Stegostoma tigrinum: one gene and its partners. Each later gene encodes a partner of the first gene's protein in a complex. Links are inferred from orthologs where the notes say so. Each region holds a gene or a part of one and is shown in the gene's direction. Other genes may lie near its edges. The genes, in order: ints4, ints7, ints11 and ints1.

Region 1 (7,071 bases):
TGGATTCTCCAGCATCTGCAGTTCCCATTATCACATCACAACACCAGCACCTGGATAGGGAGAGAGGGGGAGGCGGACCGAAGATGCACCAGCGCAGTTCTTCCCCTCCCCCCACTGCATCCCAAAACCAGTCCAGCCTGTCTCTGCCTCCCTAACCTGTTCTTCCTCTCACCTATCCCCTCCTCCCACCTCAAGCTGCATCTCCATTTCCTACCTACTAACCTCATCCCACCTCCTTGACCTGTCCGTCTTCCCCGGACTGACCTATCCCCTCCCTACCTCCCCACCTATACTCTCCTCTCCACCTATCTTCTTTTCTCTCCATCTTCGGTCCGCCTCCCCCTCTCTCCCTATTTATTCCAGAACCCTCACCCCAACCCCCTCTCTGATGAAGGGTCTAGGCCCGAAACGTCAGCTTTTGTGCTCCTGAGATGCTGCTTGGCCTGCTGTGTTCATCTAGCCTCACATTTTATTGTCTTGGATTCTCCAGCATCTGCAGTTCCCATTATCTCTATTCTCAGTTCCTGTCAGTTTTCATTACCTTCAGCCTTATCCAACAAGATTATTGCTGATCAATTCCACTTTCTATCTTTCCCCCATAATCCTTGATTTCCTTACTGGTTAAAAATCTGCCTGTTTCAATCTTGAATCCATTTAACAACACGCCCTTGAGAGCCCTTTGTGCTGACACTGGTGGTGGAGAAATTATTGAAGTCTATAATGAAGGGTCAGTCATGCTTGACAAACCTCATAGGGATGTTTGGAGAGGCGACAACGGTGGTGGCCAGAGGCAAGTGGATGGATGCTGTTAAAGTGGACTTAGAGTCATAGAGATATACAACATAGAAACAGGCTCTTCTGCCCAACTCGTTCATGCCGACCAGATATGGCCTAACTCCACAGAGCAGCCATGATTTATTTGAATCACAGAGATCAGGTTCAAAGGGCTGAATGGCCTTCTCCAATTCCGAGGTTCCTAAAGAATTCCACAGATTCACTACCCACTGAGAGAACAAATTCTTCCTCATCTCTATAACAAATGTGAAACCCCTTCTTCTGCAATTATGCCCCTGCTCCGAACATATCCTATGAATTAAAATAATCTGTCAGCATAGATCCGATCAGTTCCCTCAGAATCTTTTGCATTTCAATTAGATTTCCTCTCATTCTTCTAAACTCTAATGAGTACAGGCCCAATCTATTCAACCTCTCATCATAAGACAGTCCTCCCATACCTGGTGTCATCCTACTGAACCTTCTCTGCACTGCCTCCAAAAACAATCTTCCCTTGGATAAGGGCACAAGATCGTTCATAGAATTCCAGCAGTGGTCGTTGCTTTAGTAAGATCTTGTTCACCTCAGGTCAGGATGGCAAATGGATTATAGCGGAACATCCAGCCATTTGTCCTTTTGTTCTTACTCCAGTTCTATGTAATAAAGATGTTTCTTTGCACTTGTACCACTTGATCTCCTGTGAAAATAACAGGGATCTGTTGTTACATCTCAGCTGAAGGATGGTGTATAGTTGTGAGTACCACTTTATAGGAAAGATTGGAGGCAGATTTACAAGAATGGTTCCAGGAATCAGAAACTTACAGTCTTTTTTTGTTCATCATGGGATGAACGCCCCGCTGGCAAGGCTAGCATTTACTGCCCACTCCCTATTAATCAGAGGGCAGTTCAGAGTCAACTGCATTGTGAGATAACAAAGTGTGGAGCTGGACGAACACAGCAGGCCCAGCAGCATCTCAGGAGCACAAAAGCTGACGTTTCGGGCCTAGACCCTTCATCAGAGAGGGTGATGGGGGGAGGGAACTGGAATAAATAGGGAGAGAGGGGGAGGCAGATCGAAGGTGGATAGAGGAGAAGATAGGTGGAGAGGGGACAGACAAGTTAAAGAGGTGGGGATGGAGCCAGTAGAGGTGAGTGTAGGTGGGGAGGGGATAGGTCAGTCCGGGGAAGACGGACAGGTCAAGGGGGTGGGATGAGGTTAGTAGGTAGTAGGGGGTGCGGCTTGAGGTGGGAAGGGGGGATAGGTGAGAGGAAGAACAGGGTAGGGAGGCAGGAACGAGCTGGGCTGGTTTTGGGATGCAATGGGGGAGGGGACGAGCTGGGCTGGTTTTGGGATGCAGTAGGAGGAGGGGAGATTTTGAAACTTGTGAAGTCCACGTTGATACCATTGGGCTGCAGCGTTCCCCAGTGGAATATGAGTTGCTGTTCCTGCAACCTTCGGGTGGCATCATTGTGGCACAGCAGGAGGCCCAGAATGGACATGTCGTCTAAGGAATGGGAGGGGGAATTGAAATGGTTCGCGACTGGGAGGTGCAGTTGTTTGTTGCAAACCGAGCAGAGGTGTTCTACAAAGCGGTCCCCAAGACTCCGCTTGGTTTCCCCAATGTAGAGGAGGATACACAACGGGTAGAGCGGATACAGCATACCACATTGGCAGATGTGCAGGTGAACATCTGCTTGATGTGGAAAGTCACCTTGGGGCCGGGGATGGGGGTGAGGGAGGAGGTGTAAGGGCAAGTGTAGCACTTCCTGCGGTTGTAGGGGAAGGTGCCGGGTGTGGTGGGGTTGGAGGGGAGTGTGGAGTAGACAAAGGAGTCCCGGAGAGAGTGGTCTCTCCGGAAGGCAGGCAAGGGTAGGGATGGAAAAATGTCTTTGGTGGTGGGGTCGGATTGTAGATGGCAGAAGTGCCGGAGGATGATGCGTTGTATCTGGAGGTTGGTGGGGTGGTATGTGAGGACAAGGGAGATTCTCTTTTGGCAGTTATTGAGGGGACGGGGTGTGAGGGATGAGGTGCGGGAAACTCTCGGATTCTCCAGCATCTGCAGTTCCCATTATCTCTCAACTGCATTGTGAGTCTGGAGTCACAGGAAAGGCAAAGCAAGTAAGGATGACCGGAGCAAATTACTGCAGATGCTGGAATGTGTACTGAAAACAACAAATGCTGGAGATCACAGGAGATCAGACAGAATCCATGGAGAGACAGCAAGCTAGCGTTTCGATCTCTGATGAAGAGTCATCTTGATTCGAAACATTAGCTTGCTCTCTCTCCTTGGATGTTGTCTGATGCACTGTGATCTCCAATATTTTGTTGTTTTCAAGTAAGGATGGCAATTTCCTTCTCTAAAAGACATTAATGGGCCATATGGGTTCTTCCAACTATTGACAATGGATTGATGGTCATCATTAAAGTCTTAATTCCAGATGTCTGTTGAACTCAAAGTCCACCATCTGTTATGAGAGGGGTGAGGCAGAAGGGGGGGGGGAATGGGAAAGATGGGAAATTGGGGGCGGGAAAGATGGAGTGGAGGGAGAAATGGCAGAGAGAGAGATGGCAGAATGGATTGTGGGGAGAGAATGGGAGATGGTGGGAGATGAAAAGGATGGGAGGAGGTGGGGAACGAAAGGATGGGACGTGGAGCGGAAGAGGGGATAGGAGGGGCGTGGGTCAGCAGAGGTAAGTGGGGAGGGGACAGGACGCAGGGGAGTGGGCAGAGAGGGCAAGGGGGAGAAAGGGAACAGGGATGCAAGGAGAATGAGGGGACGGAGAGGGAGGGGTTGACAGAGACCGAGAATGAGGGTAAGTGGGAGAAGGGAGCGGAGTGGTGGGAGGGACAGAGTAAGAATGGGTTGAATGGGGAGAGAAGTGATGGGGAAAGGGGGTGAAGGTGGAAGGGGAGAGAGGAGCAAAGACGGAGAATGAGGGGAAGGGGTGACAGTATGTGGAAAGGTGGAGGGTGGGGTCAGAAAGGGTGGGACCAGGGCCAGGGGGCGTTGCCAATGTGCGCTGGGGAGGAAGGGCCAGGGCGAGGGGGCGGGGCCAGGGCGAGGGGAAGGGCCAGGGCGAGGGGGCGGGGCCAGGGCGAGAGGCGGGGACCGTCCGGTGGTTTCGGGGGGGGGGGGGGGCGGGTCCACGGATGCCTACGGAAGCCTCTGAGAGCCTAGAAGCCGTTAATTCGGCAATTGCCGCGCGGTTTTGAGTTTGTCGTTGTTGTGCCTTCTGCTTCGCTACGCCATGGCGGCGCATCTCAAGAAGCGGGTGTATGAGGAGTTCACCAAAGTGGTTCAGGTCAGGCGGCTTTCCTCTCCTGAGACTGCAGCTGGTTGTGCCCTGCCGTTGCCCCTTCTCCTTCCTGCTCAGCTCCTTCCCCCTCCCGCACCGACCCTCAGGAAAACGGCCTCCTGCTTAGGCCTGAGGCCTAACCCAAGGCCCCTTTTAAAACAAATAACTTTGATGTGGAACGTGGATATTTGTTCAGCAGCTGTGCCAGGGCAACCTTTCGTAACCATACAGCTTTAACTTTGTACAATATCTTGAAGGTTTAGATAGGTTTGATTATTTAAAAACATCTGTTTTGCAAGAGGTTTAAAGTTACTGCTGTCAAAATTTGAGAGCCTTGAAAGTACTTTAACGTGGAAAAGTAGATATTTGCTCCAAAGTGAATCAATGGTTGGAATATAATTTAAAATTGTAGATTTTGTACGTTACATTTTAAAGCCCACTCATGATTTTGAAAACCTTTATCAGATCCCCTGCCCTCTTTCCGAGGAGGTCAGTTCCAACTTCTCCTACTTATCCTCATAACTGAATTGTCTCATTCCAGGAACTGTTCCTGCAAATTGCTCCTGTGCTCTCTCCAGTGCATTTGTGTCTTTCCTATAATGTGGTGCCCGCAACGGCCCTCAGAGCGTCCCACCCAGACCCATCCCTGGACATTACGGGCAATTTCCCATGGCCAGTCCACCCTGACCTGCACATCTTTGGACTGTGGGACGAAACCCATGCGGACACAGGGAAAATGTGCAAACTCCACACAGACAGTCACCAGAGGCTGGAATCAAACCCAGCACTAACCATCGTGCTGCCCCTTTTTAAGCAACTCATTGGGACACAGCAATTGGAGGTCCAACTAAGATTCGAACTTGGATAGCTGGATTCCAAGTCCAGATTGCTAACCATTACACCGTGGAACCGACTGCAAACAAGCAGGGCTTCACGACAGAATTCAGTGCACTCCAGACAGGACTTGAACCCGCAATCCCTACCTTGGGAGGGCAGTGCCTTCTCCATTAGGCCACTGGGGCCAGGCATATCTAGTCACCTCTTGAATACATTCAATGTTTTGGCAACATTCTCCCCATGTCTGCAAGGGTTTCCACCAGATGCTGTGGTTTTCTCCCACAGTGCAAAGATATGCAAGTTAGGCGATAACAAAGTGTGGAGCTGGATGAACACAGCAGGCCAAGCAGCGTCTCTGTGCTCATAAGATGCTGCTTGGCCTGCTGTGTTCATCCAGCTCCACACTTTGTTATCTCAGATTCCCCAGCATCTGCAGTTCCCATTATCTCTGAATGCAAGTTAGGTGGACTGGTCGTGCTAAAATTGCCCATAGTGCCTGGGGATGTCTGGGTTAAGTGGATTTGCCATGGGAAATATAGGGTTACAAGGATAGGGGGTGTGTGTGGGGGGGGGGGGGGGAGTGGGGGCTCTGGGTGGGATGCTGTTTGCAGTGTTGGTGCAGACCAGATCGGCCAAATGGCCTGCTTTCATGTTTTAGGGATTCTATGATTCTACATCCACCTGCAGCAAAACCTGTACAACAGCAGGTCTTGGACTAGTGAGTGGCAAGTAAAGTTTGTCACATGGGTGCAAGACCATGATCATCACCAAAAAGAATCTGGCCCTTAGCATCAATGTCACTCCATCACTCAGTACCCCACTATCAGCATCCTGGGAGCTACTATTGACCAGGAACTGAAACTTGCCCATTTTCTACAGTTCATAAGTCAGGCGTATGGTGGAATACTCCCTGCTTATGTGGATACGTGCAGCACCAACAACACCAGATGATTCAATACCATTCAAGAAAAAGCCACCTGTTTAATTTGACACCTCATCTTCCACTTTCAATTTTCACACGCTCCACCACCAAGGCACAGTCACAGTGGATAATGTGTATCTATAAGCTGCTCTGCAGCAACTTACCAAGGCTCTTTAGAAAGTATCCTCCAGATTTTTGACCATTGTCACCTAGGAAGTCAGGGGTAACGGATACATGGGAAAACCACCACTGCAAATTCCCCTCCAGGCTACACACCAACCTGACTTGAAAATATATGCCTTGCCTTTACCGTTGTCATGTTAAAACCCTGTGGGTGTATCTATATGCCATATACTGCAGCACTTGCAATAAGAATTTGGGATGGATAATAAATTCTGGCCAGCTAGCAAAAAGTGCATACAATGAATAACTGAAAAATATTATCCCCCATTTCTCCCAGTGTCATTCTGCAGAATCTGTGTTGTATTCCCCCCAAGGCCATTATACCCATGTTGAGGATCAGTGCTCCATGCTGAATGTAGTGCCCCAGATGGTTTCATAGTTGTACATGACCAGCAAGACCCATGAATGCTCCCCAAGAATACATGCTACAAATTCTGTGCAGTGACAAATCCTATAAAAGGTGGCCTGCTATTACTGTTAATTGAAATGGTATTGTTTGTCTTGGTCTAAGCCCGTCTGTGCTACAAGACTGTGGATTGAAACTCCAATGAGAGTGTTGTCCTTGTCATCCAGCTGATTTGTTGCAGTACCAGTGGGATGATGCATAGTCAGAAATTCCACAGCGCAAACAAGACACTGAACTGAAGCTGAATCTGTCTTTTGCAGATTGAAGAAAAGAGTCCCATGCCACAATTTGTCTTAGACCAAGGAGGTTCTCCCAGTTGGTGACACAATCATCTGATTCAAGAGATTATGATCTCAAGAACCATCCTAACCAAGAGCAGTGAATTTGAACAGAAGCATGGCATTTAACATAGATAACAAAGTGTGGAGCTGGATGAACACAGCAGGCCAAGCGGCACCTTAGGAGCACAAAAGCTGGTGTTTCGGGCCTAGACCCTTCATCAGAAAAGGGGGATGGGGAGAGGGTTCTGAAATAAATAGGAAGAGAGCGGGAGGCAGATCAAAGATGGATAGAGGAGAAGATAGGTGGAGAGGAGACAGACAAGTTAGAGGGACAGGGATGGAGCCAGGAGAGGTGAGTGTAGGTGGGGAG
Region 2 (7,870 bases), on another chromosome or scaffold:
ATGTGTATCCACGTTGGCCTAACTGACCACCTTCAAGGCGGACCTCCTGTTTCTGCAGGGAGTGCGGGATACCACACCTCGGCAGGTACGGAAATGGTCCGGCGCCTGGACCTGTGGGCCTTCGATCTGGTCGGGGGATAACGACTGTCGCTTCTCGGGCCTGGCTATTCTGCTGCGGGGGCGCGACTTCACCATCGCTCAAGTTCAGGAGGTGGTGGGGGGGGGTGGCGCCTCCTAGTGGCTGATGTCACCTACAGGAACGCTCCCCTGAGGCTGATCAACGTGTATGCCCCAGCGGTATGGAATGAGCGGTTGGCCGTCCTGCAGCGGCTTCCACACCTGCTGGCTATGTCCAGGCCGGTCATCCTGGGCGGAGACTCCAACTGCATCATCGATGCAGACGGAGGATCCAGCGTGGGGACAGCGGGTGGGGGGGGGAAGAGTCAACTGGACGTCACGTCCAGATTCCTGATGGGCACGGTGAAGGACGCCAAGCTGCTCGACGTCCTCAGCACCCCTGCAGACGGAGCGCAGCTGAGGTTCACCTGCTTGCGGCCAGATGGGTCTATTCGCTCAAGGATAGACTTCCTGTTTGTGTCACGGGCGTTCTGAGTCAGGTCCACCGGCGTCGAGCCGGTGTTCTTCTCTGACCACTACCTCCTGCTGGCCGACTGTCACTTACAGGATGACCGGCCGGCCGGCAAGGGGACGTGGAAGCTCATCACGACTCTGTTGACCCCAGAGAACGTCGAGGAGCTGAAGAGGGAGTACACTGGTTGGAGAACCGTGAAACCCCTCTGAGTCTCCGGGCGACTGGTGGGAGACAGTAAAGGAGAACATCAAGAGGTTCTTTGCCCTCAAGGGTGTTCGGAAGGCGAGAGAGACGCGGGGAAAGCTGTCGCGACTCCAGAAAAGGGTGCAGAACCTGCTCCTTCTGCAGTTGATGGGGGTCGCTGTCACGGAGGACCTCCGTGAGGTGAGGGGCCAGCAAGCGTCGCTCTTCGCCGCGGAGGCCTCCAGGATAATCTTCCAGTCCAGGGTCCGCTCCGTGGAGCAGGACGAGACGTGCTTGCGTTTCTTCTTTCAGAAGGTGCACAAAGAGAGCTCTGTGCTTAGTCGGCTGAAGGAGGACGACTGCTCGGTGACGTCGTCTCGGCCCGACATTTTGAGGATCAGCAGATCCTTCTATGCCGGACCGTACGACACAAAGCCCACGGACAGCACGGCCTCCGAGTCGTTCCTGTTGTCTATCACGGAGGTCTTAGGCGACGGCACGAGGGAGTGGCTAGACCGGCCGATATCCCTGGACGAGCTGACCAGAGCCCTCAAGTCCTTGGAGAGGAATAGGACTCCCGTTGGACCGTTCCGTACCACCTGTCCTTTGCGGAGAAATTTTTGAAAGGAAACACCTTTGACCACAAGGCCGTCAGGCAGTGGTCAGCACGTAGTATCCTCGAGACCCTTCAGGAAAAGGAGAGGGTGGGTCCCGTCGTATGGTTCCCCACACAGACTGCCAAAGTCGTTTGGCAGAATGCCTCATCGCCAGAACTTTCAAACAAGCACAAGGACATTGCTTGGCTGGTGGTGAGAGGGGCTCTGCCAGTGAGATCCTTTATGCATGCCTGGAATCTCTGCACCACCGCACGCTGCCCTCGAGGTGGCTGCCGGGGGGACGAGACTGTCGATCACCTCCTTCTGGAGTGTGCCTATGCGCAGGAGGTCTGGAGGGGGATGCAGTGGTATTTGTCGAGGTTCGTCCCGAGCAGCTCTGTGACGCGGGACTCCGTGCTCTACGGGCTGTTTCCCGGGACGCACACCGAGACCAACATCAACTGCACCTGGAGGACCATCAATGCGGTGAAAGACGCTCTTTGGTGTGCCCGCAACTTGCTGGTCTGCCAGCTGAAAGAACTGACCCCGACCGAATGTTGCAGACTGGCACACTCCAAGGTCCAGGACTACGTGCTGAGGGACGCGCTAAAGCTTGGGCAGCCGCCGCCAAGGCGCAGTGGGGAAATACCACGGTATGAAACCCCTCGTCCTGAATAGAGAAAAAGGGCCCTATCTGGTAACTGGGCCCGGCTGGCGCCTTCCCCAACTGGTCAGGGGGCCAACTGGGACTGTACGGGGTGACAACTGCCGGGGTATTTTTTTTGCTTTTTTTTTCTTTCGTTGGTGTAAGTACCCCCGGGTAACCCAAAGCGGCTTGCATGACTGGGTAGGTGTATAAATATGTTTTATTTTTTCGTACATCTTATGAATAAAATATATGTTTTCAAATAAAAAAATGTGACGAAACGTCTGAAAACGAACCTTCCAGTTCAGCGAGCAAACTCACACCCAGAACTTTTAATATCCAACTGGTCCACATGTTGTTCCTCAGTATCACTGAGGAGGACAATATTTATTTCATAGGCACCACTTATTTGCTCTGGATAATCAGGCTGTAACTTCACGAATGTGGCAATCAAATTTGTAACTTCATGATTCCAAACTAATGTATGCTTTTAACTAATTAAAATTAGAGAGACACAGTAAGTGTGCAAGAAGTTCAGTCAAGCACTGGAGAGGTCAATTTACCTGTAGACCACAAGCAGCCAAATGGAGGTACTGCTGCCCCAAGGTCACCGTATGAAGTGTGTTCATCTCGCCGATTACATTGGTAATACTGCAGCAGAGTCTCTAACGAGTAGCTGTGAGACTCTAAACACAAAAAGATAAAATTTTGTTGAAACTAACAGACAAGCAACTGACAATAAAAAAAAAACTCTGCAGTGACTGCAACTTGTCTTTTGTATAAGATATTCCATGCATACAAATTTACAGCAATGTTTCATTGCTGTGCAGGCTAAGAAAAATGGCAACCAAAAGGAAATTTTAAGATAAGTAAATTCCATAAAGAGATATCCACATGAATAGGGTATAATTTTTATTTGTTTCATCATTTTAACAAAAAAGCGATCATTCATCATTCAGAATGATTTGAGACATTTAACCATGCATGCACCTAGAAGGCATAGAGCTGGACGAACACAGCAGGCCAAGCAGCAGAGGAGGAGGAAGGCTGACATTTCGGACCTAGACCCTTCTTCAGAAATATGGAAACGGGGGGAGGCAGATAGAAGATGGATAGAGAGGATAGGTGGAGAGGAGACAGACATGTCAAAGAGGCGGGGATGGAGCCAGTAAAGGTGAGTGTAGGTGGAGAGGTAGGAAGGAAATAGGTCAGTCCAGGGAGAACAGGCAGGTCAAGGGGGTGGGATGAGGCTAGCAAGTAGGAAATGGGGTTGGGGCTTGAGGTGGTGGTGGTGGTGGTGGTGGTGGTGGTGGTGGGGGGGGGGGGGGGGTAGGTGGGAGGAAAGACAGGTTAGGGAGGCAGGGACGAGCTGGGCGGTTTTGGGATGAGGTAGGGGGAGGGGAGATTTTGAAGCTTGTAAAGTCCATATTTATATGGTTGGGCTGCAGGGTTCCCAAGCGGAATATGAGTCGCTGTTCCTGCAACCTTTGGGTAGCATCGTTGTTGCACTGCAAGAGGCCCATGATGGACATGTCGTCTGAGGAATGGGAGGGAGAGTTAAAATGGTTCGCGACTGGGAGCTGCAGTTGTTTGGTGCGAACCGAGTGTAGGTGTTCTGCGAAATGGTTCCCAAGCCTCCACTTGGTTTCCCCCGATGTAGAGGAGGCCACAACGGGAACAACGGATACATGTACCACATTAGCAGATCTGCTTGATGTGAATTGCAAGGGGGGGGGGGCAGAGAGATACAGAGGGGGGGGCAGATATAAAGAGCGCGCACGCGAGGGAGCAAGACAGAGAGGGAGAAATGGAGGTATATAGAGGGGGAGGTAGAGCTATATATATATATACATATATATATATATATATAGAGATAGATATATATGAGAGAGGGAGAGACAGAGAGGGATTTTGTATCCAACTTCACTCTGCACCATTAAACTAACAAGCGCGATATAAATCGTAAATTGAAAGGCAATGTGTGGCAGGTGAGCAGTAATTATTACAATTTGATACCTCTTTTTGTAAATAAAAAAACTTTTATCAATACGAGAAATATCTAACACCCAATTTAAAAAATGTTGTTGTGCCCCGTTCAAAAAGCATTCAACCACAGCCTTAATTGAACTCCTTTTAGAATATCCAGTCAAGTAGCTCTATATTCGTGCTTTCTCGTAAGATTTAGAAGCCTACCAACATGTTAATGACAACGACAGTGATGCGTATAGTAGACGAAATAGCTGTTCTCTTCGAAAATTCGTGTAGCTGAGACCAAAACAATAAAACTTCCTGCAGGAATTTCGCATTTCAATACAATTATAGAGTCACTTGATTGATTTGCACTTCAAATAACAAAACTTAGACAAATTTCTATTTTTAAATGATTACTTACAGCTACGAAGATTGAGATTAGTTTTGGCGAAATAAAACACTGAGCACAGCATTCTGATGAATAAACCTTAAACAAGCAATACTACGTAATGTTTCACAAATACATCACAACCGTGATGTCTTTAAAGAAAGGCGCACACAATCCTTTTATAACCTTGGAGTAGTTTCTCACCTCGCGTTCTGTTACAAATTCTGCTACTGAGCACAGAATGGAACAACATCTTAAAACTCCCGGCGACTGAATTCAACACAACTCCCGCGCTCTGCAACCTCCCGCCAAATTGACGTCACACGCGCTGATTGGCCGCCATGCGGAAGTTTGTCGTCCCGCTGTTACCTCCGCTCCCGGTGCATTACTGGGAGAAGACGGTTGGTTCCCTGCGGTTAGAGTAGGTGTTTAATCATGGCGCTGGCAGCAGCTAGGCCGTTTTTGTCGGAAGGTGGTTATGGAGAGCAGGAAATGGACGCCAACTCTGCTCTGATGGAGCTGGATAAAGGTACGTATCGGGCGCAACTTGCCCGCTGGCCCTCCTCTTTTCTCGGATTTAACAAACCGGCGGAACGTTTTCCAAACTGCCTTTAAAACGTGCAGTAGAATATCTGGGACCGTCTCGGGGCAGCAGCTGCGTTTCGGTGTTTATTATTACTCTCAGTGAGACTCTCCAAACGTTTAAACTTTCTCGCTGAATTGTGGAGGTCTTTGGAACTGGCTCTAAAATCTTGCATCTGCCCATTAGATGTTGATGGATGTGAACTGATTGTTATTTTCTGAAAAGTAGCGTATTAAAATCCCGGCCTTAGTTATTAGGATTGAAACTTACTTTATTGAGTTTTAAATCAAATCTCAAATTTGTTCGAAACAAATCATAAACATTTTTCTGACCGGTTTGAATGGCTTATACAGTGTTTGAAATCCTCCAGTTATTTCCAAGGATAAATTGATAAATCTGTATTTTGTGTTTACCTTTTATTTAAGTTTGTCAAGCTCTTATCCTGGTCAAAATACCGTTGAAATTATCATTCACAGATCATAGCCGATGACCCTAATTATGTTGAAGTTTGCTGTAGATAAAAGAGAAAAAAAACAGACATTAAAGTTGTTACATGAGCACAATTTGAAGTGTTAAGTCTAAGCAACATTGACATTATGCTAACGTCTGAGCAGTCAAGCAACATATACAATAGACTTATTTTGAATGTTTCCTTTGTTGTAAGCTCATAAGTCATATCAGTCTGTCTCCCTTGCCCCCAGCCCAGAGTCACGTTTTACCTCCTTACTCCCCATCCACTTTCATTGAGGTGCTGCCTTTCTCTTTGCTTATCTAAGGAGCTGCTCTTCTTGCGTACTGCTTCATTTGACGTATCCTTTTTTCACCAAAACTCATGAGAGTTACATCAGTTATTTTGCACTGAGCTGGTTAATGGATGAATATTCTGTGTGTGAAGGATTTACTGCCACACTTGACAACTTGCTGACCCTCCTTTTCTCTGAAATTTCCACCTAACAGGAAGTAAATTTCCATCAATTGAAAATTTGTATTCAGAGGTTGCAGCAGAGTTCAGTCGCTTGAGCAAATCAGCACTATCACATAAAGCCAAGAGTGGTGGTGTGAGACGCATTGGGCCATGATGGATAACTGAGGGTGGGATTTTATGGAGTGTACTTAAGCATGAGTATTTCATTTATACAGTCTGGATGTGGATTAGAAAAGGTGGATGCTGGGAAGTTGTTTCCGTTAGGCGGGGAGACTAGGACCCGTGGGCACAGCCCTAGAATTAGAGGGGGTAAATTTAAAACGGAAATGAGGAGACATTTCTTCAGCCAGAGAGTGGTGGGCCTGTGGAATTCATTGCCATGGAGCGCAGTGGAGGCCAGGACGTTAAATGTCTTCAAGGCAGAGATTGATAAATTCATGATCTCACAAGGAATTAAGGGCTATGGGGAGAGTGCAGGGAAGTGGAGTTGAAATGCCCATCAGCCGTGATTAAATGGCGGAGTGGACTTAGAACATAGAACAGTACAGCACAGAACAGGCCCTTCAGCCCACAATGTTGTGCCGACCATTGATCCTCATGTATGCACCCTCAAATTTCTGTGACCATATACATGTCCAGCAGTCTCTTAAATGACCCAATGACCTTGCTTCCACAACTGCTGCTGGCAACGCATTCCATGCTCCCACAACTCTCTGCGTAAAGAACCTGCCTCTGACATCCCCTCTATACTTTCCACCAACCAGCTTAAAACTATGACCCCTCGTGCTAGCCATTTCTGCCCTGGGAAATAGTCTCTGGCTATCAACTCTATCTATGCCTCTCATTATCTTGTATACCTCAATTAGGTCCCCTCTCCTCCTCCTTTTCTCCAATGAAAAGAGACCGAGCTCGGTCAACCTCTCTTCATAAGATAAGCCCTCCAGTCCAAGCAGCATCCTGGTAAACCTCCTCTGAACCCTCTCCAAAGCAGCCAAATGGCCTTACTTCCACTCCTATGTCTTATCATCTTATGGATTGGAATCTGCAGTTTGAGGAACCCACCTATTGGAACTAGTCTTATTCTTTGTCTCTTGAAACTAATTGTGTAAAGTATATTACAACAAAATTTTTTTAAAAATTAGAAATGTAAAGTGGAAACATGAAGAAGCAGTCCAGACTAAGGTGATTTGCTATGTTGAATGGTTTACATCAGGTGTTGTGGTAGGGATCTTTCTATTTTTGAAAAATCAGTGACATGGTGTAACATGGATTTGGTATGGGAAGCATTAGGGAAGAGTTTTGCCTTTTATGTAGGAATGACTCGATGAACAGCCAGAAGCACGGGTCAGACTGTTTGCAAATAAAACATATAACACAGGTTAGTGACCCCTGTTACAAATGAAATTTTGTATTTTACCTCAAGACTTAAACATTTAAAAATATGAGACTTTCATAATGAGAAGTTTTCTGAATTGCTGTGTACATTAAATTATCTAAACTTTTGAACTGTGTTGTAGTGAGTTCAAGTACCAATTGCAATGTTTTTATCCTATCTTTCAAGGACTGAGATCAGGGAAACTTGGTGAGCAATGTGAGGCAGTTGTTCGTTTCCCTAGGTTGTTTCAAAAGTACCCATTTCCGATTCTTATAAACTCTGCTTTTTTGAAGCTTGCAGACATCTTCAGAGTTGGGTAAGTATCAACAACTTTTGAAAGAATGTTCAAACAATTAATTTTACATAGGTTTTGTAACAAATGTGATTTAACTATTTCCCTCTGTCAGAAACAACTTTCTGAGAATGTGTGTGTTGAAAGTCACTCAGCAGAGTGAAAAGCACTTGGAGAAAATCTTGAATGTTGATGAATTTGTGAAGAGAGTCTTCTCAGTCATCCACAGCAATGATCCAGTGGCCAGAGCCATCACTCTCCGGTAAGCAAAATTCTGGTGTTGTGTCAAAACATTCTGTGCCTTGGAACCAAAAGTATT
Region 3 (7,247 bases), on another chromosome or scaffold:
TTCCCCCAGTATAGATACCACCTTCTCTGTTGGGCCCATATTCATAACCTCAAAGAAGTTTGCTCGGCTCGGCAGCATATAAAAGGCAACAGTTGCAGCTTTGCGTACTATCCAGGGATGATATTTAGCTAGGGAATCCTGGTATGCCTCTGTACAAAGAACAGAAGTTTTGCTATCATCAGAAGCTACTCGCAGTTTCTCCAGAAACAGCTGTAGCCACCTGAGGGCACGATGGAGCCGCAATAGTGTACGACAGCCAGAATCCCAGTGGTCACCCCGCTTTGTCAGATCCACAAGCTTGTTACCAACTTCATACTTCACCATTGATTGAATCGTCAGATACTGTTGACCATTCGCACCACGTCTGTAGTGTTCCAGAATTTGGATTTTGGTGACAGCGTCATGTGAAATAAAGGAAAAGGCCGATCCCAGACTGTTCATAAACCTAAAGTGTAATAAACAGACATATTTTAGTGTTTAGAACAGAGTTAAAAAGTAAATTACTGGTCTAACAAAAATTAAAAATAAAAATTGAGAAGCAATATTCTTAAAGTAACCACAATACTCCATTGCCAAGTGGGTTACTACTTCCAGAATTCAAATTGTAGCTACTTTTTTGGGAGTTTATCTTGCAAGATGCAGGTGAAAGATCTCAATTTCTACCCCTGATTTTCCACTGATCTGGGAATGGTAGAAACTGTACTTTGTTGATTACAGAGGGAACGACTGCTACATGTTACACCCAGGCTAGAAGCACCCAACAGATTGGGACTGGGCCCAGCAATGTTGTTACCATTGGTTGAGCAGTCTGCTGACATGAACCCTCAGACGCACAGGGGATGTAATGAACAGTGCTATGCATTAAGTGTAATGAGCAAGAATCAATACATTCAGGAGAGGAACACAAAGTTGGCGAGGAATGTTCATGTACATCAGTTGATAAGACACTGATGCCAATGCTACTCTGATATTTGTCAAGTGAAATTCACACATAAGCAGGTCACATGCATATTCCTTACAAATGCAGCTATTAAATGAAATCAAATTTAATGTTCTAGATGTTGTGACCTACTGACAATAAGTTTACCACAATACATGGTATAAAGAATCTTCTAAAGGGCCATATCAGATTCAAAACATTAACTCTGTTCTTGTCTCCACTGATGCTGCCAAACCTGCCAAGTTTCTTGAATGCTTTTTATTTCTCATTTCCAGCATCAGTGATATTTTGCTTTAATAATAAAGTGGAAAGTTGACAGAACACAAAATTTGGGTTTAAAACTTCCAGTTGTGTGTTAGAAAGGCACCTGTTTGAACATATACTCTATTATTGTGGAGAAATGGAAAATGTTACCAATATCTGTTGATCTACAATGTCAGTGAAGTGCAAGCACTGATCATTGAGCATCACAACTCAATTCACTGAAAACTGAAAGTACCATTAAGTAAAACCTCAATTTAAAAGGATTAGGGCATCTCTGAATAGAATTCACTTGTGTTTCTTAGAATGAAATAAAATACAAGTAAAATAGCAGATTTGGGAATGCATTAGAAGTTATTGGCTCAGATATTACCATGGTAACATGAGTGAACCCGACAGCAAGTGCTGCCTTTACTTAATTATACCAAAAGCAACTTCAGGAGTCTGGAAATGCACAAATTCATTTAGAAAAACAGAAGTTATTTCAGTGATGCTATATTTTTTTTTTCCAGAAAGTGCACTGTGAGGACTCACCCCTCGACTGCAGTCGCTGGCAAAACACCAAAGAAGTGACGTGAACTTTTTATTCTGGTCTCATCTCACTCATTGTAAAAATCCCTTGAGAAAAAGTTACACTTTATTGACCAAGATGTGTTTGGATCTTAATGGCAAAATAACAACTACAGAATACTAAAGACTGGTCCTGAAAAGCTAATTTTATGTTTGCAAATTGTCAAATTTCATCTTTACTATCAAGAGTTCTACATATTTAAAATAAAATGTATTTAAATCTAATCATGTATTTTACAACAAGATATTTTAACAGCTTTAGTGACCTTGTTTGCAATTGATAAATCCTTCAAGGCAGTTGTTTGCCTATCCTGCTTATTTACAACATTGCTGCTGCTGCACACCAAGATTTCCTTTGACTTAATGTCTGATACATTAGGAAAGAAGAAACATGCCATGGAGAGTGCTACATCTTTGTAGGCAGCATTCTTTGACATCACCAAATATTCTTGCTATGTTACTCAGCATGAAAGCTAGGCCAATGTTTTGGGAGAAGGATAACAGCCTAAAACCTTAAGTTGTTCTTTTCTGAAGCAAGAGGCACTCTACAATTCCAGATAATGCCAATATTTTTGCTTTTGGTAGGTTGGGAGATAATGGTTTCACATACACAATCTATAAAAGGTTATCATTAATGCAGTATATTGGTCAAGTGAACAATTTACAACAAGGTGATGCTCGCCATACAGCATCGCAAAAAGAAATAGCTCTCATTCTCATTTTCCCCAGATTAATTTTGTGAAAACAGATTTGGCCCCTCACACTAAGTAAATCGATTATACAAAAATCCAAATTAGGAACAGAAGGAGGCTACTCAGCCTTTCTATTTAGTTTCAAAATTCAATAAAATCATGGTTGATCTGTTCATGTTTTGAATGCCACATTCACATCTACTCCCAATAACCTTTGATTTGCTTGCCTAACAATAAAAAAACATTACTTACTATCTCCACCCTAAAAAATACACAAGGACATTGCCGCCATCCCTCTGAGTCAAGGTGTTCCAAGGTTACACAACTCTCAAAGAAAAGAAACCTAAAAAAACTCCTAGTTTTTAAACACTGCTTCAGTATAGTCATTAATTAACACAAGCTAGTTCTGGACTCACCTAGAAGAGAAAATATCTTTTCCATATCCATCCTGTCAAGATCTTATTTATATTTTAATCAACCTGTTTGGACAGGTTATGACAAATCTTTGGGACAAGTAGGACTTGAACCTGAAACCAAAACCATTTGAGCTAGAGTAAGGGACACGATTGCACCACAAGTTTGTGAAAAGAAGGATCTTATATTTCAATCAAGTCACCCATGACTCTTCTAAACACGTGAAAACATGAGCAGTGTGTCCAACCATTCCTCAGAGGAGGATGCACACTTTCCTGGTATCAATCCAGTACACAATTGTAAACTGGGGTGGCACAGTGATTAGAGATAATGGGAACGGCAGATGCTGGAGAATCCAAGATAACAGTGTGGGGCTGGATGAACACACCAGGCCAAGCAACATCTTAGGAGCACAAAAGCTGACATTTCGGGCCTAGACATCAGCTTTTGTGCTCTTAAGATGCTGCTTGGCCTGGTGTGTTCACCCAGCCCCACACTTTATTATCTAGCACTGCTGCCTCACACTGCCAGAGACGGGGCTTGATTCCAGCCTCTATCTGCATTATAGGCATTCAGATTCTAAGCCTCCTCTGAACCATCTCCACCCCACTTACATCCACAATTTTGCAAGATGTGGTCTCATCAATGTGCTAAAAATTTCAAGTATAACATCCTTACTTCTGTTCCTCACAGAATAAAGGATAACATTCCATTAACATCTTAACTAGTTGATGCACCTACATTCTAAGTTTTTTTTGCGATTCGTGCACCAGAATATCAAAACTCCTCTGCACCTCAGAAATACGTTCCACTTAGGTGGCATTCTTCGTTTGTTCTTCCTAAATTAACATCACGTTTTCCCAGATTACATTCCATCTGCCAGATATTTATTGAAAAATTCAACTTCTCCACATCTGTCTGCAGTCTCCATAAGTTCTGTTAGCAATAGAGCGAAAGGATTTTTTTTTGAAAGTCACTCACTTTACCAGTCCTTTCCATCCTTCTAAGTAATGTTCCTGCAGGATTTCTCCGTTGTCAGTCAGACATTCTTTGAAAGACCCCAGGACCTCAGTCAGACTGAACCGATCTGGATGAGCCATTTTAGAAACTGAAGCGAAGGAGTAGGGTGTTTTATTGACCAATCACAGCGCGGCTGTCCCCGGCCGGAAGTCCCACCTCAGCACCAGCCCACCTGGATCGAGCATCTCATTGGCCGTTGCTCTTGTCAGTCGGGTGGGTGTGCTGGGTGTCCTGGAAACGAGGGCCTGCTCGGCCTTGCTGTCGCCCGAGGTAGGCCTGAGGTTAGCGTGTTGTTTCTGCCCGGTTTGTGACAACAGCGTTTAGGGGAAAGGGAAAGGAGTAGGACGGGAATCGCTGTAATTGAGAGGGCTCCTTGTGTATTTAAAAACCCGTCGCCATCATTATGCGACGGGAAAGTGATAATAAATTGAGTTGTATTTTTAAAATTGCAACGTATGAATGTTAACCTGGAGACTTTAAGTGTGATTTTTTTTTGTTTAAATCAGTGAAGGAGGCCGCAACTGGCTTGCTGTCCTGTTCATTGTCACTGTCTGGAATTTTGCTGCTCCTCAGCAAAGCTCACTGTAAACCAGTGTTGTGTACAATCTATTCCATTAAATTTGACAGTTTTTAAAAATAGTTCCCAGTTTTTTTTAATGGGACGTATGTTGCTGAATTCAAATTTTTGAATAATTCAATTTTAAAGGCAGTAGATGACTGAATTGTTAGTGGAGGGCATAGTGGTGAAACAGTTTTTTTTCCAACAGTCTGGCTGCTTCTTTGTTACCTTTAATGTTACCAACAGCAGTTTTTTGTATTTTAATTATCCTTTGCATGCACTTAAAATTTTTCAAGCTCTCTTAGTGGGCTATTGATTCCTGTTCTCTGAATTGTTAGTGCAAGTCTCTGGAATTGTTTTGTCCAGTAATGACTAGTGTATACCTGTTGATTTTATGAAGATCTTCATTAGTAGGTGGACATGTGCATTCAAGAGGCTGTAAGAGTCGATGGGTTTCAGGGCTTTGTACACTCAGACATTGAGTATAAAAACAAAGTTAATTTGTTCAAATCATGGTACAATGATAAGAAATATTCCATTTATGTAGTAACTTTCTCTTTGAAACATACCTCAAGATTCTTCACAGATCATTGTAGCAGGAATAAAATTGTGACCATATGCTCAAAAATTGAATCTTTCTTCACTGAAATAAGGAAACTTAGTTAGAGATTTCACAGAGATTTTTAAAATTCTTAAAAATTTTAAGGCGTAAATAGCGCAGAACTGGCATGACAGGCTGTTGAGGTTAAAACTAACTGTTTAAAGATTAATTGAACAATGTCAAGGCATTTCTTCCCCCAGAAGATAGTGAATGCCTGGAATTCAATATCCCAGAGAGTTGTGTAGCCTAGATCACTGAAAGTATTTGAAGAGAAGGTAAATAGAGTTTTAAAATATCAAGGAGCTGAGAACTCTGAGGAGCAGGTACAAGAGAGGAGCTGAGGATTAGCGCACACCAAGCCATGATTTTATTGAGTAGCAGGATGGGATTGAGGGTACGAATAGCTTACTCCTGTTCCCATTTCTTAGGTTCTTGCTTTCAGTATTTGAAAATGACATTTTATATTAGGATATAGCTGTTGAAAAAAATGGTTGTAAAGTTCTGTCAGTGACTTGGAGGTGAAGTTCACGCCTCTAGACTTTAACACACAGTACATACCACTGTCTCCCTGTTGCACAATGATACTCTCACTTCTTCTCTCATTTCTTACCCTTACATAGGAGAGACCAAACTGCTGGGCCTTGAAATCTCCTGAGATTTTGTTACTGATACAGTCTGCTTTAAATTTATCAGATCCATTTTGCTGAATTTAAGATGACTAACTGATTTCATCAGTACATTCTTGGAACCACAAGTTGCAGTGAAATCTGATTGCAAATGCCAGAAATAAAGGTCACACCTTTAGGTAAGAATTCAAATATTCAGCTGTCTCTAGAATAACAAGGAGCAGCATTATTAGATATGATTGTTAGTAAGAACTTAGAAAACTTGCAGAATGATGAGTCCTTGCTTTTTCAGGGGCTGGCCAGGATGTGGGCCGCAGTTGTATCCTGGTCTCAATTGGTGGGAAAAACGTGATGCTGGATTGTGGAATGCACATGGGATATAATGATGATGTAAGTATATGGAACAATCGAATGGTAGAAAATACAGGAAAACACAGGCTTGTGAAATAAAGAGATATCTGGCCAGTGTTTTACAGTTTGAGTTTACATGGTTCATTTGTCAATTTTTGTGTATCCGTGTTTCCTTCAATGGACGTGGACCCAGTGATTGTTGGTCATTGCTGACTTAGTACAGGTGTTGAAGTGTTCCCAGTTTTCGGTGTCACATATCACTGGAGGTAGAGCCATCACCATAACAGGAGTAGGTTGTAGGTTTATTAACCACTGTAGTTATCACTACAAGCATTGATTGTCACCGTGACCCAGGAAAGGTCCATAGTTTCTGTACTCTTGCTGTTGGGTCTAAATAGTATATGAATAAACCAAATACAACAGGAGTCACAGATAGTAGGAACTGCAGATGCTGGAGAATCTGAGATAACAAGGTGTAGAGCTGGATGAACACAGCAGGCCAAGCAGCATCAGAGGAGCAAGAAGGCTGACGTTTCGGACCTAGACCCTTCTTCAGAAATGGGGAAGGGGAAGGGGGTTCTGAAATAAATAAGGAGAGGGGGGAGGCGGATAGAAGATGGATAGAGGAGAAGATAGGTGGAGAGGAGACAGACAGGTCAAAGAGGCAGGGATGGAGCCAGTAAAGGTGAATGTAGGTGGGGAGGGAGGGAGGGAGGAGATAGGTCAGTCCAGGGAGGATGGACGAGTCAAGGAGGCGGAATGAGGTTAGTAGGTAGGAGATGGGGGTGGGGCTTGAAATGGGAGAGGGGATAGGTTGGAGGCGGGGACGAGCTGGGCTGGTTTAGGGATGGAGTAGGGGGAGGGGAGATCTTGAAGTTTGTGAAGTCCACATTGATACCATTGGGCTGCAGGGTTCTCAAGCAGAATATGAGTTGCTGTTCCTGCAACCTTCACATAGCATTGTTATGGCACTTCAGGAGGCCCAGGATGGACATGTCATCTGAGAAATGGGAGGGGGAGTTGCAACGGTTCGCAACTGGGAAGTGCAGTTGTTTAGTGCCAACTGAGGGTAGGTGTTCTGCAAAGCAGTCCCCAAGTCTCCGCTTGGTTTCCCCAATGTAAAGGAGGCCAGAGTGGGTACAGTGGATGCAGTATACCACATTGGCAGATGTGCAGGTGAACATCTGCTTGATGTGGAAAGTCTTCTTTGGGC
Region 4 (7,555 bases), on another chromosome or scaffold:
ACTGAGAGGGATCGTTGGATGAGGTAGAGGGTCTAGACAGACAGATTTTAAGTGAGCACATAGGCAGGGACAGACGGACAAACACATTCATATGCTGGGTGAAGAGACCCACAGCCAGATATTGAAGAGATTCCACTCCCCGCTGTCATCTTGTCCTCTCTCCTTCCAACCCACCCTTCCTCCCTCGTCCCCCATATTACCTGTAGTCAGGATCTGCCCACACAGGACAAGCCTGGATACTATCTGCTGTGTAATCCACTGGCTCATATTCTGGCCATGCCACGCTCCAGCTAACATAGCTGTCAGGGACAGGGAAGCGCTGGACCTGAGACCCTGGATACGGGGACTTTCGTGCCTTGACGTGAATCATCGATAAGCTTTCTGTATTCTGATGTGAGGCGTCGCACACTGGGTAAGTTGCAGGCTTATACCAACCAGACTGGGCAAGGCAGACACTGAAATAGAAACACTATCATTTAGAACTTATTTCTTGAGAAACCCAACCCCAAAGAACTCCAGTCTCTCAATACATGAACCACTTCTACCCCAATATAATGACTACCGTTCAGAAACTTCCTCAATGATTGAAGTCACAGACAAAGTCATGAGAAACATTGCATCAGTGTAAGTTCCTTACTAAATTCTGGCCCATTTCGTGCAGTGAATTTTTTCAGATTTTCTTGAATTGACCTGGGTTTGAGATATCCAAATAATTGCAACTGAAATCTCCTAAACACACTTATTTAATGCATCATTCAGTATACAACGACATCCGTTTCAAGGAATCTTTCAGAAACCTGCCCCTCCCCATCTACCTCAAACCCTTCATCTTGCTGTACCTGTTCAAATCCTTCTCCAGTCACTTAGAATCTCATTTTCTCCAGCTACAGATTTAATCTTCAGTGATCTGCCCCACCCTGATCTGTGTGGATCGAGAGGCTGCTGGAAATCTCTTTGTCAGAGACTGCTGGTGGTCAGAAAGAGTCAGCTTTTGTGCTCCTGAGATGCTGCTGGGCCTGCTGTGTTCATCCAGCCTCACAATTTGTTATCTTGGATTCTCCAGCATCTGCAGTTCCCATTATCACTAACCTTTGACTGGAGTTCTTCCTCAGCAGAATGCTATGAATAATTCAATAGCACTTGGTCACTGGGGAGTGGAGTTGCATGTGCTGGATGAACACAATCGATTCCTTTTTATATTTCTGTTGCTGAGATTGCTGTCAATTAATGAAACTTGCTGACAGAAATAAAAAGCTCAAATGTTCCTGCCTCACTTCCTCAAAACAGCCACGTACATTTACAGGCATGCAAGAATTTTTCTAAAATAAAAGGCTTTTTGTTTGTGGCTGTTTAGCAATTTTTATAGCTTTTTGAAAATGATCCAGTTCTCCCGTCTGTGTCTGGTCTGCAGCAACATGATAGCCAACTGCCTCTTCAAGAACTCACAAACAGTGGCAGTGTTAAAACTGTTCAACCACAGAAGGCATTGTTGTCAGCCGTAGCTCAGTAGGTAAACATACATCCGTTGGAGTAGGAAAATGGTGGTCTTATTTCACTCCAGAGACTTGACCAGGCAAAATATAACCTCATTTGCCAATGGAGTACTGAGGAAGTACTGCGCTGTTTGAGGTTCTGTCTTTGGCAATGAGATACTCAACTAAGATCCCGCCTGCCACCTGAAGTAGATGTAAAAGATCTCATTGGACTATCTGGAGAGAAGGTACAAAGTCAACAAATTCTGGCCAATTGTCATTCCGCAATAACATCTAGAGAACAGATTACAGTAAACTCCCCAGTATCTGGCATGCATGGGGACTGGGTGTGCTCATTACACAAATCGATTGGTTGTGGCTGGGACCACTCATAAATACAGTCAGTAAGGTTTGATCAAAAGGAGAAAGAGAGGTGACTAAATGATCAGGTTCCAGCAAGCAAATCTACTCCCGCTGGTTTTAGTTTTATTCATTTGTGGGACACGGGTGTCACTGACTGGGCCAGCACTTGCTGCCTGTTCCTAGATGCCATTGAGAAAGTGGTGGTGAGCTGCCTTCTTTAACTGCTGCAGTCCCTATGCTGTATATAAATCCACAATACAGTTAAGTGGAGGCAAAACATCCAGAATTTTGATTAAACAACAATGAAAAATCAGTAATATTTCCAAGGCAGGATGGTGGGTGGCTAAGAGTGAAACTTGCAGTTTGGTAGTGTTCCTGTGTATCTGCTGTCCTCGTTCTGCTAGGTGGAAGTGAACATGAGTTTGGAATGTGCAGTGCTTCTTCTTGTTGTTACACATAGCCAATTATAGAGTTATACTGCAGGGAAACAGACGATTCGGTCCAACCAGTCCATGCTGAACTAAACTAGTCCCACCTGCCTGCTCCTGGCCCATATCCCCCCCAAACCTTTCAAGGTCTTGTTCTTATCCATACATTGTAACTGTGTCCACATCCACCACTTCCTCAGGAAGTTCATTCCACACGCAAACCATCCCCTGTATTAAAAAAAAACTGCCTCTTACATTTTTTTAACTCGATCTCCTGTCACCTTAAAAATGTGCCCCATAGTCTTGAAATTCCCCCTTGTAGGAAAAAGACAACTACCATCAACTCAAACTTGCAACATGAAATGGAAGGAGGAGGATTTCTGTTAAGTGCTCTCACGTGGGCACCCTGATCTGGACAATGGGGATTTTACAGTGGTATCAGAGATAATGGGAACTGCAGATGCTGGAGATTCCAAGATAATAAAATGTGAGGCTGGATGAACACAGCAGGCCAAGCAGCATCTCAGGAGCACAAAAGCTGACATTTCGGGCCTAGACCCTTCATCAGAGAGATGAAGGGTCTAGGCCCGAAACGTCAGCTTTTGTGCTCCTGAGATGCTTCTTGGCCTGCTGTGTTCATCCAGCCTCACATTTTATTATCTGGGGATTTTACAGTGTCTGGTTACTGTCACATTACCGTTTGTGGGCGCTCACGCTGAATATATTCTCTGCTGCATCACACCGGTGACTGAAGTTCAAAATTACTTTATTGAACCTAAATGCACTTTGACTTATCCAAAGATGTGAAAAGGACAGAATGAAAGAGCATCTTTCTGTTTCAGCTGGTTTCTGCGTGTAAGTGTATTTTTCAACATTTCCAACTGAATTTTCTTTTCCACGTAGAGGAGGGAATTGAACAGATTGCAATATCTCCATTACCGGTCCTCGCTATAATACCCAAACTTAGCCCTGCCTGGAACATCCTCATTTCCAGTACACATGCAGGACTGAGTTCACTACATGCACTACTCAGAGTTAATAAACAAAACTATCTGGAGTAACAGATAATGAGGGTTGATCTTATAAAGGTTTATAAAATTATGAGGGGCATCGATAGGGTAAATAAACAAGGTCTTTTCCCCAAGGGGTGGGGGAAACCAAAACTAGACAGCGCAGGTTTAAGGTGAGAAGGAAAGATTTAAAAAAGGGAATTAAGGAGCAACTTTTTCACACACAGGGTGGTAGCTGTATGGAATGAGATGAAGACTGGTACAATTACAACATTTAAAAGACATCTGGATGGATACATGAATTGGAAGCATTTAGAGGGATATGGGCCAAATGCTGGCAAATGGGTCGAGATCTACTTAGGATATCTGCTCAACATGGATGAGTTGGACCAAAGGGTCTGTTTCCTTGCTGTACATCTCTATGACTATTTGACTGCACCACTGCGATGAAAAATTCTAATGGAGAAAATATACATAGTGCAGATGGAGGCCATTTGGTCCAAGATGGAATACTCTGTTTAACTCAGAGGCTTCACCCATCTGGGACACAGCAGTACCTCCAAAATCAGACACTGACTACAGACAGAGACTGATCTTCAAAACCAAGAGTGGGGTTCAGACGTGGCATCTCAGAGTCACTGTACCTGTCTCTGATCCAAATCCAGCATTGGAGGGCAGTGCAGACCATGCACACACTCATTGTCCTCCATAGATTACGTTTGGGAAAACTCATAATTAGTCAGATTCACAACGTTTCTGCTCACATCCAGACCACCTAATATAATTCCAGTCCCATCACACCAACAGCTTTCAATTCTTGTTTTCCACAACATTTACACTCAGCCTGCTCACAGTCACAGCCCAACACTTAGATGCTAACACTTAGCCCTGTTTATATTAACTGGTCAGGTTCCCACTTCCAAACCTAAAGACACAGCCTCCTGCTCAATCCTTGGCTAATCACGTCCTTGGAGCCTACAACACTGACACTGACACTCCCTGACCACACTCGTCCTTGGTCACACTCAGACTCTGACGTTGTCTCTCCCTGGTATTCGATCATCATGGCCCCACCCTCTGCAGGAATGGGCCAATCACAAGCGGAATCCATTTGAATGGCAGCGGACGAACGTCGGCCCTCTGCCCCACAACTTCCGGCCCGCGGACAAGCCGCTCCGGGTGGGACTGTTTCCCTAGGATAGTGTGTGCTCACGGAAGGGGGTGGGGAGGGAGGAAGGGTGTGACACGGCACCGGGAGAGAGAGGAAGGTGTCAGCCCCGGGCACGTAGAGGGTTAGCCGGGCCCAGGGGAGGCCTGTCACTTATCAATTACTGTACACGTAGGCTACCCTTCGCCTTGTGAGCGTTAACTGGTCGAGAGCCCTTTAATTGGGTTTAAAAGACTGATCAACATTTATGTAGCGCCTCTTACATCCTTAAGGCGCGTTACAGCTAAAGGCGTGCAGCCCCTGTTAAAATGTGGGAACATTGAAGACTATTTGAGGACAGTACGATCCCGTAAGCAACATTGTGACACTCATAGTGATTTGGATTTCCATATAGTAGTTGCCCAGAGCCAGCACACGAAGGAAAATTCCCCTGTTCCTTTTGTAGTGACCCAGGAGATCTGCTTGCCCACCTGAAAGGTTAGTTGGGTCTCGGTTAAATATCTCACTGAAAATGTTGCATTTCTAATCGGTAGCACTCCCTCCAACCAGTATTGGTGTGCCCTCCTGGATTTTAATGCCCCTTTTAAAAAATCTGGAGTGGGGTTTGGAGCCTAGATCTACCAATTCAGAAATGTCAGGACTGCCACTGAGCACCAGTTGGTGGTACACAAATGTGTGCTGCAATCTGACGTATTGCATTGACCACTAACCTAGCATGTACACGGTGAAAAAAATTCTTTTAAAGTACAAATTAAAACTTGTTTGATGACACAGCTGTTTTCCATGTTCAGTATTAAGTTTGTTATAAAGAACTTGATTAGTCTTAATATTAGTCTTTTTGACAGTATGTCCATAATTCTAATAAAAGGTGTGCACCTGAAACAGGGATCATCTTTTCCAGATGTGAATGGATTGTTGAGACCTTACTATTTTATCTCACATTTTCCAGCACTTGCAGATTTATTTGTTTCCTTTTTAATGTTTTTGTGCATTTGTATTTGTTGTTGACAGGCTGCACACATTCATAACAACAAGGGAAAGTGAAGTGTATAGTTTACCAGGATGAACCGATCAAAAGCTGTGGCAATCCGGCGCCCCAGCAGTGCCAAACCTAGTGGTGAGTGCGGCATCTTATAGAAATTATGTAGATTTATTTTCTTTTGCTAAACATTTGCTCCTTTGTTTAACAATGTAAAATTTGAAAAGACTTGCCTGAAAGCAGGTTGTGTTTGGTGTACAAGTAGTCCATCATTTTGACTTTACCTTTCCATTATGAATTCCTTAAAACTTGAACAAGGATTCTGAGACGACCAGTTTTCAAACTTTACAATGAACTATGGTGAAAGATAGGATAGCATTAATGCCATGGATCTTCAAAAACTTGATGTTTACACTGTCCAGCTTCACCTTCATTTGGAACTGTTGCCAAGGTGAGCACGGTGGCTCAGTGGTTAGCACTGCTGCCTCACAGCACCAGGAGCTCGTGTTTGATTCCACCCTTGAGGGACTGTCTTAGTGTGGAGCTTGTACATTCTTCCCGTGTCTGCGTGAGTTTCCTCCTGGTTTCCTACCACAGTCCATACATGAGCAGGCTAGGTGAATTGGCCATGCTAAATTGCCCAAAGTGTGCAGGGATGTATAGATTAGGTAGGCTATGGAGTCTGGGTGGGATACTCTGAGGATTGGTGTGGACTTATTGGGCTGTAGGGCCTGTTTCCACACTGCAGGGATTCTCTGATGTTTCTATGATGATGATGATTGTTACAGGAGGAGGCTGCTTAGCCACTTGAGCCTGTTCTGCCATTCATAAAGCTAGTGGCTGGTCTTAATTCCATCTCCTGGCTTACATTCCAAAGCAATGAATGCTTTTCCCTTAAAAAAAATTTAGTTTCTGTTTTGAGAGATTTTGCAGAAAGATGAGACTTTCCACCCGTTTTCCTGGGCTGGTTGAAAGGTCAAGATAGGCAAACTCCTCTGATTGAAAATTTGGGGAAGCCATCATTAATCATGTTAGCTTCTGTTCCTGCATGTGATCTCTGTTATCACTTCTGCTGTTCAATCCTAAATTTGAAGAGCTTGACCTTACTGGCATTCACTTGAAGGGTGATAGTTGGAAAAACCAACCTGCAACCTGTTTATATATGCAACACCACCTGTCTCTGTTTCTCTTGTATGTTGAAATTTTATTTATTTTAGGGCATCCACCCCCTGGGGACTTTATAGCACTGGGGTCGAAGAACCAGGCCTCTGATGCCAAGGCATCGGGAACACTGCTGAAGCCAGCGCAGACTGGATTGCAGTCTGATAGAAAACGTGAGGGATCGTCAGCCATGACCTCTACCTCTGGCCTTTCAAAACGCCCAAAGATATCTTCCACTCCACCATTGAGTGCGCTTGGACGCCTGGCAGAGGCTGCAGTCGCAGAGAAACGGGCCATATCACCTTCTATTAAAGAGCCATCTGTCGTACCAATTGAAGGCAAGTATTGGCTGCAGGGTATTGAGTGATGTGCACCTTTCTGCATGATCTAATACCTGAGATTAAGAATAGCATGCTCTTGCTTCTCTGAGCATTTTCACTATACTGAAATAAAAGTTCATTGCACAGTTTGTAACTCCAAGTCATTATTTCCCAAGATTTCGAAAAAAAAACCGGAAATACTTGCACTTGGAAGTAAGAATGACAGTGATAGACTTCAAGAAGATATGGACAGATGAACAGCAAATTAAATTTTCATGTAGTGAAGTGTGAAATAATAGATTTTGCTGGTGAAAATGAAGAAAAGAACTATAAAATAAGTTTTTAGAGCAGATGCACGATCAGACGCACTTAGAGTTTAAGTGCAGGAATCAGTGAAGATAGCGGTGATAAAAGGATATGAACATAGAGATACAGATACCGATGCAGGGATGTTATAAAGACCTTTTTATAAAATGTCGATATGGCCTCAGCAGCAGTAATGTACCAGATTCTCAGCATCACATTTTAGGAATATACTGAAGGAAAGAAAATCATTGAGTATTGCAAAGATTAGTGCGAAGCCACAGGATTGGGAAAGTTTTAAAAACCAACAAATGACACCAAAACAAAGGGGGAAGATAAACTTTGAGGGTA

What was found.
Region 2: the proteins of ints4 (region 1) and ints7 are in contact, whole or in part, in a cryo-EM structure (PDB 8RC4), measured with the Homo sapiens proteins. The link is inferred for Stegostoma tigrinum from reciprocal best matches to the Homo sapiens genes INTS4 and INTS7. Residues at the interface, in NP_291025.3 of Homo sapiens: Glu536, Met539, Asp540, Arg571, His572, Ala574, Tyr575, Asp578, Ser579, Ser610, Phe613, Arg620, Leu624, Leu627, Gly631, Glu634, Leu635, Phe638, Arg641, Asp642, Arg645, Leu646, Glu648, Leu649, Gln650, Lys677, Leu678, Trp679, Asn680, Val681; in NP_056249.1 of Homo sapiens: Lys137, Asn138, His140, His141, Arg144, Gln145, Gly175, His205, His206, Asp207, Ala208, Ser244, Ser245, Leu246, Val247, Lys282, Thr283, Pro284, His285, Thr286, Thr321, Ile322, Lys325, His326, Gly686, Tyr689, Glu704, Gln707, Gln708, Leu711.
Region 3: the proteins of ints4 (region 1) and ints11 are in contact, whole or in part, in a cryo-EM structure (PDB 7BFP), measured with the Homo sapiens proteins. The link is inferred for Stegostoma tigrinum from reciprocal best matches to the Homo sapiens genes INTS4 and INTS11. Residues at the interface, in NP_291025.3 of Homo sapiens: Leu159, Asp161, Thr162, Arg167, Tyr203, Gln207, Asp244, Ser292, Gly294, Trp296, Arg299, Lys323, Met326, Ser327, Asp328; in NP_060341.2 of Homo sapiens: Pro183, Trp191, Lys194, Asp212, Gln288, Gln400, Gln404, Lys462, Met465, Ala466, Leu469.
Region 4: ints4 (region 1) and ints1 share a complex: the UniProt entries of both Homo sapiens proteins name them as parts of the integrator complex. The link is inferred for Stegostoma tigrinum from reciprocal best matches to the Homo sapiens genes INTS4 and INTS1.

The regions. Positions count from the first base shown.
Region 1 is NC_081359.1:108,917,257-108,924,327, reverse strand, and holds the start of ints4 (integrator complex subunit 4), read left to right. Parts: upstream 1-3,939; 5' UTR 3,940-4,024; coding exon 4,025-4,078; intron 4,079-7,071. UniProt on the Homo sapiens protein: Component of the integrator complex, a multiprotein complex that terminates RNA polymerase II (Pol II) transcription in the promoter-proximal region of genes.
Region 2 is NC_081362.1:54,598,084-54,605,953, reverse strand, and holds the start of ints7 (integrator complex subunit 7), read left to right. Parts: upstream 1-4,751; 5' UTR 4,752-4,811; coding exon 4,812-4,905; intron 4,906-7,445; coding exon 7,446-7,575; intron 7,576-7,666; coding exon 7,667-7,813; intron 7,814-7,870. Other genes in the region: dtl (denticleless protein homolog), read right to left, coding at 2,581-2,703, 4,581-4,629. UniProt on the Homo sapiens protein: Component of the integrator complex, a multiprotein complex that terminates RNA polymerase II (Pol II) transcription in the promoter-proximal region of genes.
Region 3 is NC_081381.1:29,356,315-29,363,561, reverse strand, and holds the start of ints11 (integrator complex subunit 11), read left to right. Parts: upstream 1-4,063; 5' UTR 4,064-4,167; exon of another isoform or gene 4,168-4,178; intron 4,179-5,750; 5' UTR 5,751-5,834; coding exon 5,835-5,862; intron 5,863-5,975; coding exon 5,976-6,073; intron 6,074-7,247. Other genes in the region: cptp (ceramide-1-phosphate transfer protein), read right to left, coding at 1-445, 3,859-3,977.
Region 4 is NC_081376.1:18,252,212-18,259,766, reverse strand, and holds the start of ints1 (integrator complex subunit 1), read left to right. Parts: upstream 1-4,519; 5' UTR 4,520-4,918; intron 4,919-5,452; 5' UTR 5,453-5,503; coding exon 5,504-5,558; intron 5,559-6,637; coding exon 6,638-6,919; intron 6,920-7,555. Other genes in the region: ADP-ribose pyrophosphatase, mitochondrial-like, read right to left, coding at 201-455, 3,918-4,006. UniProt on the Homo sapiens protein: Component of the integrator complex, a multiprotein complex that terminates RNA polymerase II (Pol II) transcription in the promoter-proximal region of genes.